Linked DNA regions of Arabidopsis thaliana. The protein of the gene in region 1 interacts with the protein of each later gene in a biochemical or structural test. Each region holds a gene or a part of one and is shown on either strand. Other genes may lie near its edges.

The links.
Region 2: the proteins of AT1G70750 (region 1) and XIK form a complex in vitro, tested with the Arabidopsis thaliana proteins (one study listed by BioGRID).

The regions. Positions count from the first base shown.
Region 1 is NC_003070.9:26,681,319-26,685,246, forward strand, and holds the start of AT1G70750 (myosin-binding protein (Protein of unknown function, DUF593)), read right to left. Parts: upstream 2,038-3,928; 5' UTR 1,830-2,037; coding exon 920-1,829; intron 844-919; coding exon 709-843; intron 615-708; coding exon 1-614. UniProt on the Arabidopsis thaliana protein: Membrane-anchored myosin receptors that define a distinct, plant-specific transport vesicle compartment.
Region 2 is NC_003076.8:6,936,061-6,939,988, reverse strand, and holds the start of XIK (myosin family protein with Dil), read left to right. Parts: upstream 1-2,158; 5' UTR 2,159-2,608; coding exon 2,609-2,611; intron 2,612-3,424; exon of another isoform or gene 3,425-3,445; coding exon 3,446-3,574; intron 3,575-3,843; coding exon 3,844-3,928. Other genes in the region: AT5G20500 (Glutaredoxin family protein), read right to left, coding at 324-400, 492-590, 738-811, 1,180-1,337. UniProt on the Arabidopsis thaliana protein: Myosin heavy chain that is required for the cell cycle-regulated transport of various organelles and proteins for their segregation.

The DNA.
Region 1 (3,928 bases):
CTTAAACTGTAACTCTCCATTGCTATTCTCATCAGAATCGCCATTATTTCTATACGAATCAACAGAGGAATCTCTCAATCTCCTCCTCAACATCCCCATTTTCTCTTTAGCTTCATACTCCTCCATTCTCTTTCTATACACCTCTAGCTCCTTCTCAAGCTCAGCATTCTCCTTCTCTCTATTCACCATAAGCTCATTCAACAACTGCAAAGCTTCTTGATCAAACTCAGCTTGCTCCTCCATCATTCTCTGATACTGCAACGCTTCCATCTGCATCGCAGCTTTCTCCTCATGCAACCTATTGATCATCGCCATTGTTTCACTGGCAGCAACAGCAGACGCATTCCTCTCTACCTCCAGCTCCTCGTATAACGCGTGAAGTGCTTTTCTCTCTTCTTGTAACTCAAACTTCAACTTATCAACAGTGAGTACTCCTTCAGGACATTCAATACCATCAACAGATACTCTTTGCTCTAAGTGAAACATAGCGTTATGTAGACTACTATGCGAGCTTTCCATCGAGCCTTGAGCTTCTAAAATCCGCTCTTCGTTGATGTTTAAGACTGGCATCTTGGTTTCAATCGTTACTGTTTTGAACTCCAACGTTTCCTCCTCTGTTTGGAAGAAGTAACGCATTCGTTGAAAATGTTAACTAGAGAATCAAGAACAGAGAAGGACTAACGCATACTTATGTTATAAGAAAATTACCATGATCATCGTCATCGTGGTGAGGAATGAGCTGGTGAGAAGGAATATCTCCGATTTGCTCATGATCAGGAATCTCTGTACCTATAGAAACCTCTGCGTCTGTTTCTTCGTCGTCGTTTTCCATTTCCGAAGCAACTATAAACAACTCACCAAACTTAGATACAAGGCAAAAAAAAAAAAAAGCACAAGTAAAAGCTACACGAAGATGTACCTAGATTCGTCTCTGCATCCTCCGGTTTCGATTCACCCGGCGAAGCAAAGTCGGAGATTTCCTCCGTCTCCGCCGCCGCCGTGAAATCATGCTCAACGCCGAAATCGAGGATAAAATCTCCGTTAATGTCGGAAATCTCTCGAACTTCTTCACTCGGTTTATAGAATTCAACTGGAATCAAATGACAGTCTTCTTCATCAATATAGAACTCGAGGTTTTTCGGAGCTGATTCTGCAGTTTCCACCTCTATAGGTAGATCCACTCTGTTTTCTTCTTCCTTCTCTGTTGCAATTTCTTTGTTCTTACAATCGAAGCTTGATACATAGCATGAAAACTCCTCATCAACATCATCATCTTCAAGTTTCTCATGAGATTGGGGAACTTTCTTCTCCTCTGTTTCTTCCTGAGAATCATTCAAATTTACAGATCCTACTTTCTCTTCTTCAAAGACGAAGATCGATCGAGGAAACTTAAGACCATTGTAAATCTGACCTTCATCTCCAATTGGATAATCTAAATTCCCAAAGTCAGACTCAATCGGAGCACATAGTGACGAACTTATCTTCTCTACGCAACAACCACGATGAACCAAATCATTGTGAAATTCTCCGAAACCACAATTAGATTCTTCAACAGGTTTTGAATGTAATTGGAGAGCATGATCATCGCAGAGAAGATCTCGATGAGAAGGAGATTTACCAGAAGCATCGAAGAAACGATCGAGTCTAGAGCAGAAGAGACAAGGACGTTTAAGACCGAAATAATCAGCGAATCTGAGTATGAAATAAGAAAAGAGAGAGTTGAGCAAAATGAAGAAAATGAGTGACCATTCGAGAAAAGCGTATACGAGGATTAAAGTGATTCGGTTTGTTTTCCGATGAATCAGAGTCGCGAATTTGTTAGCCGCCATAGACGACGATAAAGAAAGCTTGAGAGAGATAGAGAGATTTGTGTGGGGGACGAAGTTAGGAAGGAGGAGAAAGACTTGTCAGCTTAAGTAAGTTAGCCGGAGAAATCGGACCGACCATTAGTGACACTTTTTTATTTTATTTTAATTTGAATTTGACAACATTATATATATGAAAATGGAAATGAAGCTAAGAGTCAGAGAAAAAAAAAGGTTAGGATAATAACACATTTATGTATGTACTAAATTATTTAAAGGTTACGGGTAGGTATATATAATGGAAACAATAGTTGTTTGATATTAAGTTTTAGTTTATATAAAATAAGAAATTAAGTACTAGTAAAAAGATTATTGTTTATACTGGTTGACCGAGTTATTAATATTTTTATTCAATGTTTTGGATTCGATTTTATCTGATTACAGTTTTTTTTTTTTGAGATTTTAACCTTCCATTTAGGTTTTTTGCCAACACACCTTCCTATTTTAGGTTATAGTCTATATAGATTATTATTTATGTCTGTATTTTCATAAATAGTAAGTAATAACATATTTTATCAAATTATATTTAACAGAGTTATATATTTTTTATGTATTAGTTTTAACATATTAAAAAATAAAAAATTATCAATACTTAACATAAAAACTATGAATCCTTTGAAATTTATAAGAGGAGAGTGGATTAGTGTAGCGGAAAGCTACTGATTAATGATTTTATTTTTTGTCGTCAAGCGAGTGATTTATGATTAAGCATTGCTCGTGACGCAATCATACTGTTGAATTTTATTTATGTTGTTTAGCTTTTTCAGCAAAAGAAACAGTAGTTGATAAAAAAAAAAAACTTGCCACGTGGTTTAAATGACCCCGCCACTCTGCCTTTAACTTTGGAGGAAAAAAATAGAATGGGCCCATACATCTGACCCACATGCGCGTAAAAGGGCCCACACATTTTGAACCGGAAACCATAGTATTTTTCAGCGGAAAGAAACTTAAAACGGTGTAAAATAACGGTTTAAATCAATGTTAGTGAGGTTTAAAAACAAAATATATTTAAATGAAGTTATATGAAAGAGTTTTTTCACTAGAATTTTGTATTCGAGAGTTTCTCATTAGTAATTTAGTTAGGAGTTTTTAAATAGATGGACTAATATCTAACTTTTTTTATAATTAAAACTTTTATATTTAAAAGGTTTTTCTATTAATAATTTAACTAAGGGTTTTTAAAGTAAATTGGCCAATTCGTGAAGGATATTTCATTTAAATCCCCAAAAATTCATATTCATTATGCTGTCGTACAATGAATTGAAAATCGATTAATAAGAAGGTGGGTAACAAAATTTCCTTTAGTTTCCTTTTATTTAAGAACACCACTTTACTTCTTTCATTATTTTGACCAAGTTTAACTAGGCCCGTAAGGAGAACCATAAAGAGAGGACAAGACCTTGTTACAGCTTACAACCAAAATAAAGGAGACCACAGTTAAAAATAAAAGAGGTTTAAAAACACTTCTACTAAAAAACATGGTTGATAAAAAAGTTGGCGGTATCCAATTTTGAAAGTATGCAACTAACTATGCATCATTCATAAACAATTACATATGTAACGTGTGTAGTGTAGACAAGGTAATCGATATTCGAAATGAGCAAATAAATAAAGAAATTGTGATTAAAAAATTTTTAAGAGTTAATGGACCAGTCTAACATTATGTGCCACTTCATTTTTATATTTCACATCAAAACCGAATTCATTTTAATTAATTAGACCGTGTCCATTTTTATAAAATATTGACGGGACATTTCAACATTGTGTATGAATGTTATAATATTATTATTCTCTTCGTTAGCCGAATGGTTCACATTGACATCATAGGGACATACAAATATTGACTTTTTCGAAGACACATTACAATATATGTCGTTTTTTGAACCTCGTGGCCTTGTCAACTTATAATTTGCGTGTTTGCGAAGAGATAATCATCACCAAATGTATGTTAAACATGTAAGTAATTAATATTCAAAGGGGCCAGTATATCCCACTTAAACTTATACTATGTCAGAAAATTAATTAATATTATTGAAGGTATTAACCATATCAAATATTCGATC
Region 2 (3,928 bases), on another chromosome or scaffold:
GTTTTATTTCCACTAATCTTAGCTACTATCTATTTTGTTTTATTTCCACTAGTCTTAGCTACTCTCTATTTATCCCCCAAACAGTACAATGCACTTAAAGTTTGTGTGTTGTTCAGATAAGTTATTTGTAGCATGTCCAGATTTGATTCCTCAACCCAATTTGTATAACTCAGAATGTGGTCTTTGATAAGATACGTTTAAAAGGCAAGATCAAGCTGTCACAAGGTCATGATCAAGCTGCAGAACACAATACAAATGGAAATTGAATTGCTTACACCTAAGCATCACAGAGAGTGTTATCAATTCTTCCAACTATATATAACCTAGAGTTCAGCTTCTTTGTTCCCGGAAACACCAAGAAGCTTGGCGAGTTCACCGCTCTCATACGCATCTACGGTATCTATAACCAGAAACAAAGATAAATCTATCGATCAGCAAATGTTGGCATAAGCAAAGACGTTTTGTTGAAGGAAAAGGAGTGTTAAGTATACCATCTGATCCTCCGAGATGTTTTCCGTTAATGAAGACTTGCGGTACTGTTCGCCTTCCAACAATCTCTCCAAGTGCAGTCTGGATGCTCCAACCATCTTCTGCAAGACCAAATTTTTACCAACCATTAGTCACAAATGAATCTTCTACATAGTGATCGGACAAAGTTTCAAATGACAGAAATGTCTGAGAGCTAAGAAACATTGTTGGATGATGAAGACATGATTCCCTTTAACCTTAAAACACACCTCTTTCATCAAGCTCGACAACATAAGGAACTTGATCCAGCTCTCTGAACACTGATTTAGCTTTCTTGCAGTAGCTGTTGACCAAACCACAAGGAAGCAAAGGAAAAGTAGAGATGAGTCATATACATAGGTACATGATCTCTCTACACAACTCAATTAAGGCCAAAGGAAAAGCAAAGAGAACAAATACTGAGAACTGAACCTGAATATATCTTAAACGAAAATCCATATTGATTTCAACCACCATTTGTAAACAGAGATAACAAAGTTGTCTCATAAAAATCCAAATCTAACGAATACAAGTTCATTGGGTTCAAGTTTTCACTCATATTTCAGATATTAAGATCTAAAAAACAAAATCGCAAATTGAAGTCACCCAAGATCCAATTTTTCTGCGAATCGGATAAAAAGTGATTAAACATGAGCAGAGAAAGAGACATACGGGCAGTAGGATTTGGAGAAAATGACGATCTTATGGGAAGAGATAGTCTTCTTAACAAAGTCGGCTTCTGGGGACGAAGCAGCAGAAGAAACCATAGAAATGAATGTAACTAGTGCGACGAGCAGCATTACCATGGAGATAGATCTAAACATTGTCATGGCTCCTTTCTTCTTCTTCTTCTTCTTCAGATGCCAATTGAAGACGATGACTTGCAGGATCGATACTGTGGAAAGTAGGTGTAGGTGTGTTGTGGCGGGTACGGTTTAACCCGGCCCATCTAAATAAGGGTCGTATTAAAGCCCAAAATCAAGGTTATTGTTTCAGCCCAACCACTATTACATAAATTGGGTGAACTTAACAAAAACAATTATTTTTTACTGGGCTTCAAAAACATAGAACATTTTTGGAGTATAAAGGATGATAATGATAATGACATGACCAAAGCTGGTATTAGACGTCTTAACACTATCTTGCGGGTTCAATTTGATTTCCGCTAAACTAAGAAAATCATACATCATCCCAAAACCTAAAATTAATATTTGTGTCACATCAATTTTGAATATATGAGTCAAATCATTTGTAAACATTCTTCACAAGTTATATCCTATATTTTTTATAAAAGAGAATTTCAAAAACAGAAACGCTCGTAAGAATTTTAAAATATTTCCACATCTAACCAATCCACTAACGAAGACAAATTAGCCATAATTTACTAGTCTTAATTAAAACAAAAAAGGGGATAAAAGTGTAAAAATGAGCAATTCAAAGGGCAGAGACAAAAACAAAAGATGTAGTAATGTTTTTTTTATTTACGAAACAATCTTTGTTGTTGTCTGTGTGTAGACTCAAAGAGTGTTGTGGGTGGCTGACCACGAATGTGAATGTCCAACTCGATCCACCTCCCTTCTCCTCATTGGACCCCACTTGACCAATCTCAATTCTCAAGCACCAACATTTTTTTTGTTTGAAAACAATACACAAATAATAATTAAGAAAAAAAAGTGTTAGAGAGAGAAAGACACACAGCTCAAAAGAGAACATTGTTGTTGCTCGAGGAGAGAGAAAAACAAAAAAAAAAGCCATTAGAGAACGTCGTCTGCAAAGAAAGAAGAAGGCCAAGTCTAGCTTTCTTTCATTCTGCTTCTTCAACAATCAATCAGCTTTCTTGAGAGAGATTAAAAAATTCATTCAGATTCAGCTTTTTGAAAAGAATTTTGGCTCCGTTAATTCCGATCTCCCGATTTCTCCGTGTCTGCTTTGAGCTGACTTCAAGGAGAATTTTTCTCAGACACACCAACTCGAGAGAATCTGCCCGATCTGACTCGTCTTGTTGCCTGACTCGCTGAGTCAGCTTTCTGCAAAATCGGTCTCTCTTGGATGAGTTAACTGGGAAAAAGAGAGAGGATCTATTGGAAAAAAAGGAGTAGCCATGGTAAAATCATAGATATCATCATCCTCGTCGTTTTATTCAATTGCTTATTGTATTTTCTCAAATGGGTTTATGTTGGATTTAAATCAATTAAACGGATTCATTTTTAACACTTGTCCGATTTGGTGTTCGTTAGTAGAGATATCTTTGTATGAGGTTTGCGTTTTGTTTTCGATCCCTAGTTCGTCTTCCCATTAACACGAGAGATTCTCAATCCAACTATAGTAGAAAAGTTGAATTTTGTTATTTTGGGGAACATTATACAGTGTTATTGAAAGGTAAGGGTCAAGAGTTCTATAACAAGTTGAAGTTGGACCATTTCAGTTATCTTAAATTTCATTTCGTGGACTTATCATTTCCTATTAACATTTCACTTAGCGGCTCTCACCATTTTGGATTACTTCTATTATTAGTAACGAGGTTATGTAAGCTTCTATGTTAGATTACTGTCCCTTTATATATATGTTTCATCAGGAAACTTCTTCAGGTGAGACCATTTTTTTTTTATATACCTAAGTTTTATTTGATATAAAGGCTGAAGATTTAGTTTCCAGAATGAAGGAAACTGAGGGAAATGCGCAGTGTTATGCTATCTTTGTTGTGTTTCTAAGTGAGTGTTGTCTCTAGATTATAGGCAGTGTTATTGTCCTGGTTTTGCGGGAAATTTTAATCTATAACATTAGTTACTTTCGGTTTAGGTTCGTATGTCTGGTGCCATCTATTTCAACTGCTTGAACTGATGATATTTGGTATTTGAAAGAGGAACTTATGTAACAGCTTGTGTGAGGTTATTAAAATCTTTGTACCTCACGTCTTCAATATTTGTATCTTTTGTAGGTTGGCCCAGTCAATATAATAGTTGGTTCTCATGTTTGGATTGAAGATCCTGGAGCGGCATGGATTGATGGTGAAGTTGTCAAAATTAATGGCGAAGAAGTTCATGCACATACCACAAATGGGAAGACCGTAAGTTGTCTATCCTCCTCCCATGCTTTTGCATGTAAATTTCCTTTTGAGAAATAATGTCACTGGAATGAATAGGGTGTTTCTGCTTAGGGTGTCTGTTTAACTTTGAACAAAATGTCACTAGTCCTCTAACCCCTTTCCCTGTGGATACCGTGTTACTCCTCTAACATATGAGTTTTGCATGACATTGACATCCCTATTTCATAATTATATTATACAATCATTGAAACCAGATTATGTATCAATCAATCAATCAAATTTAATTTCAGGTTGTGGCCAATATCGCAAACGTATTTCCAAAGGATACAGAGGCTCCCCCTGGGGGTGTTGATGACATGACAAAGCTCTCATATT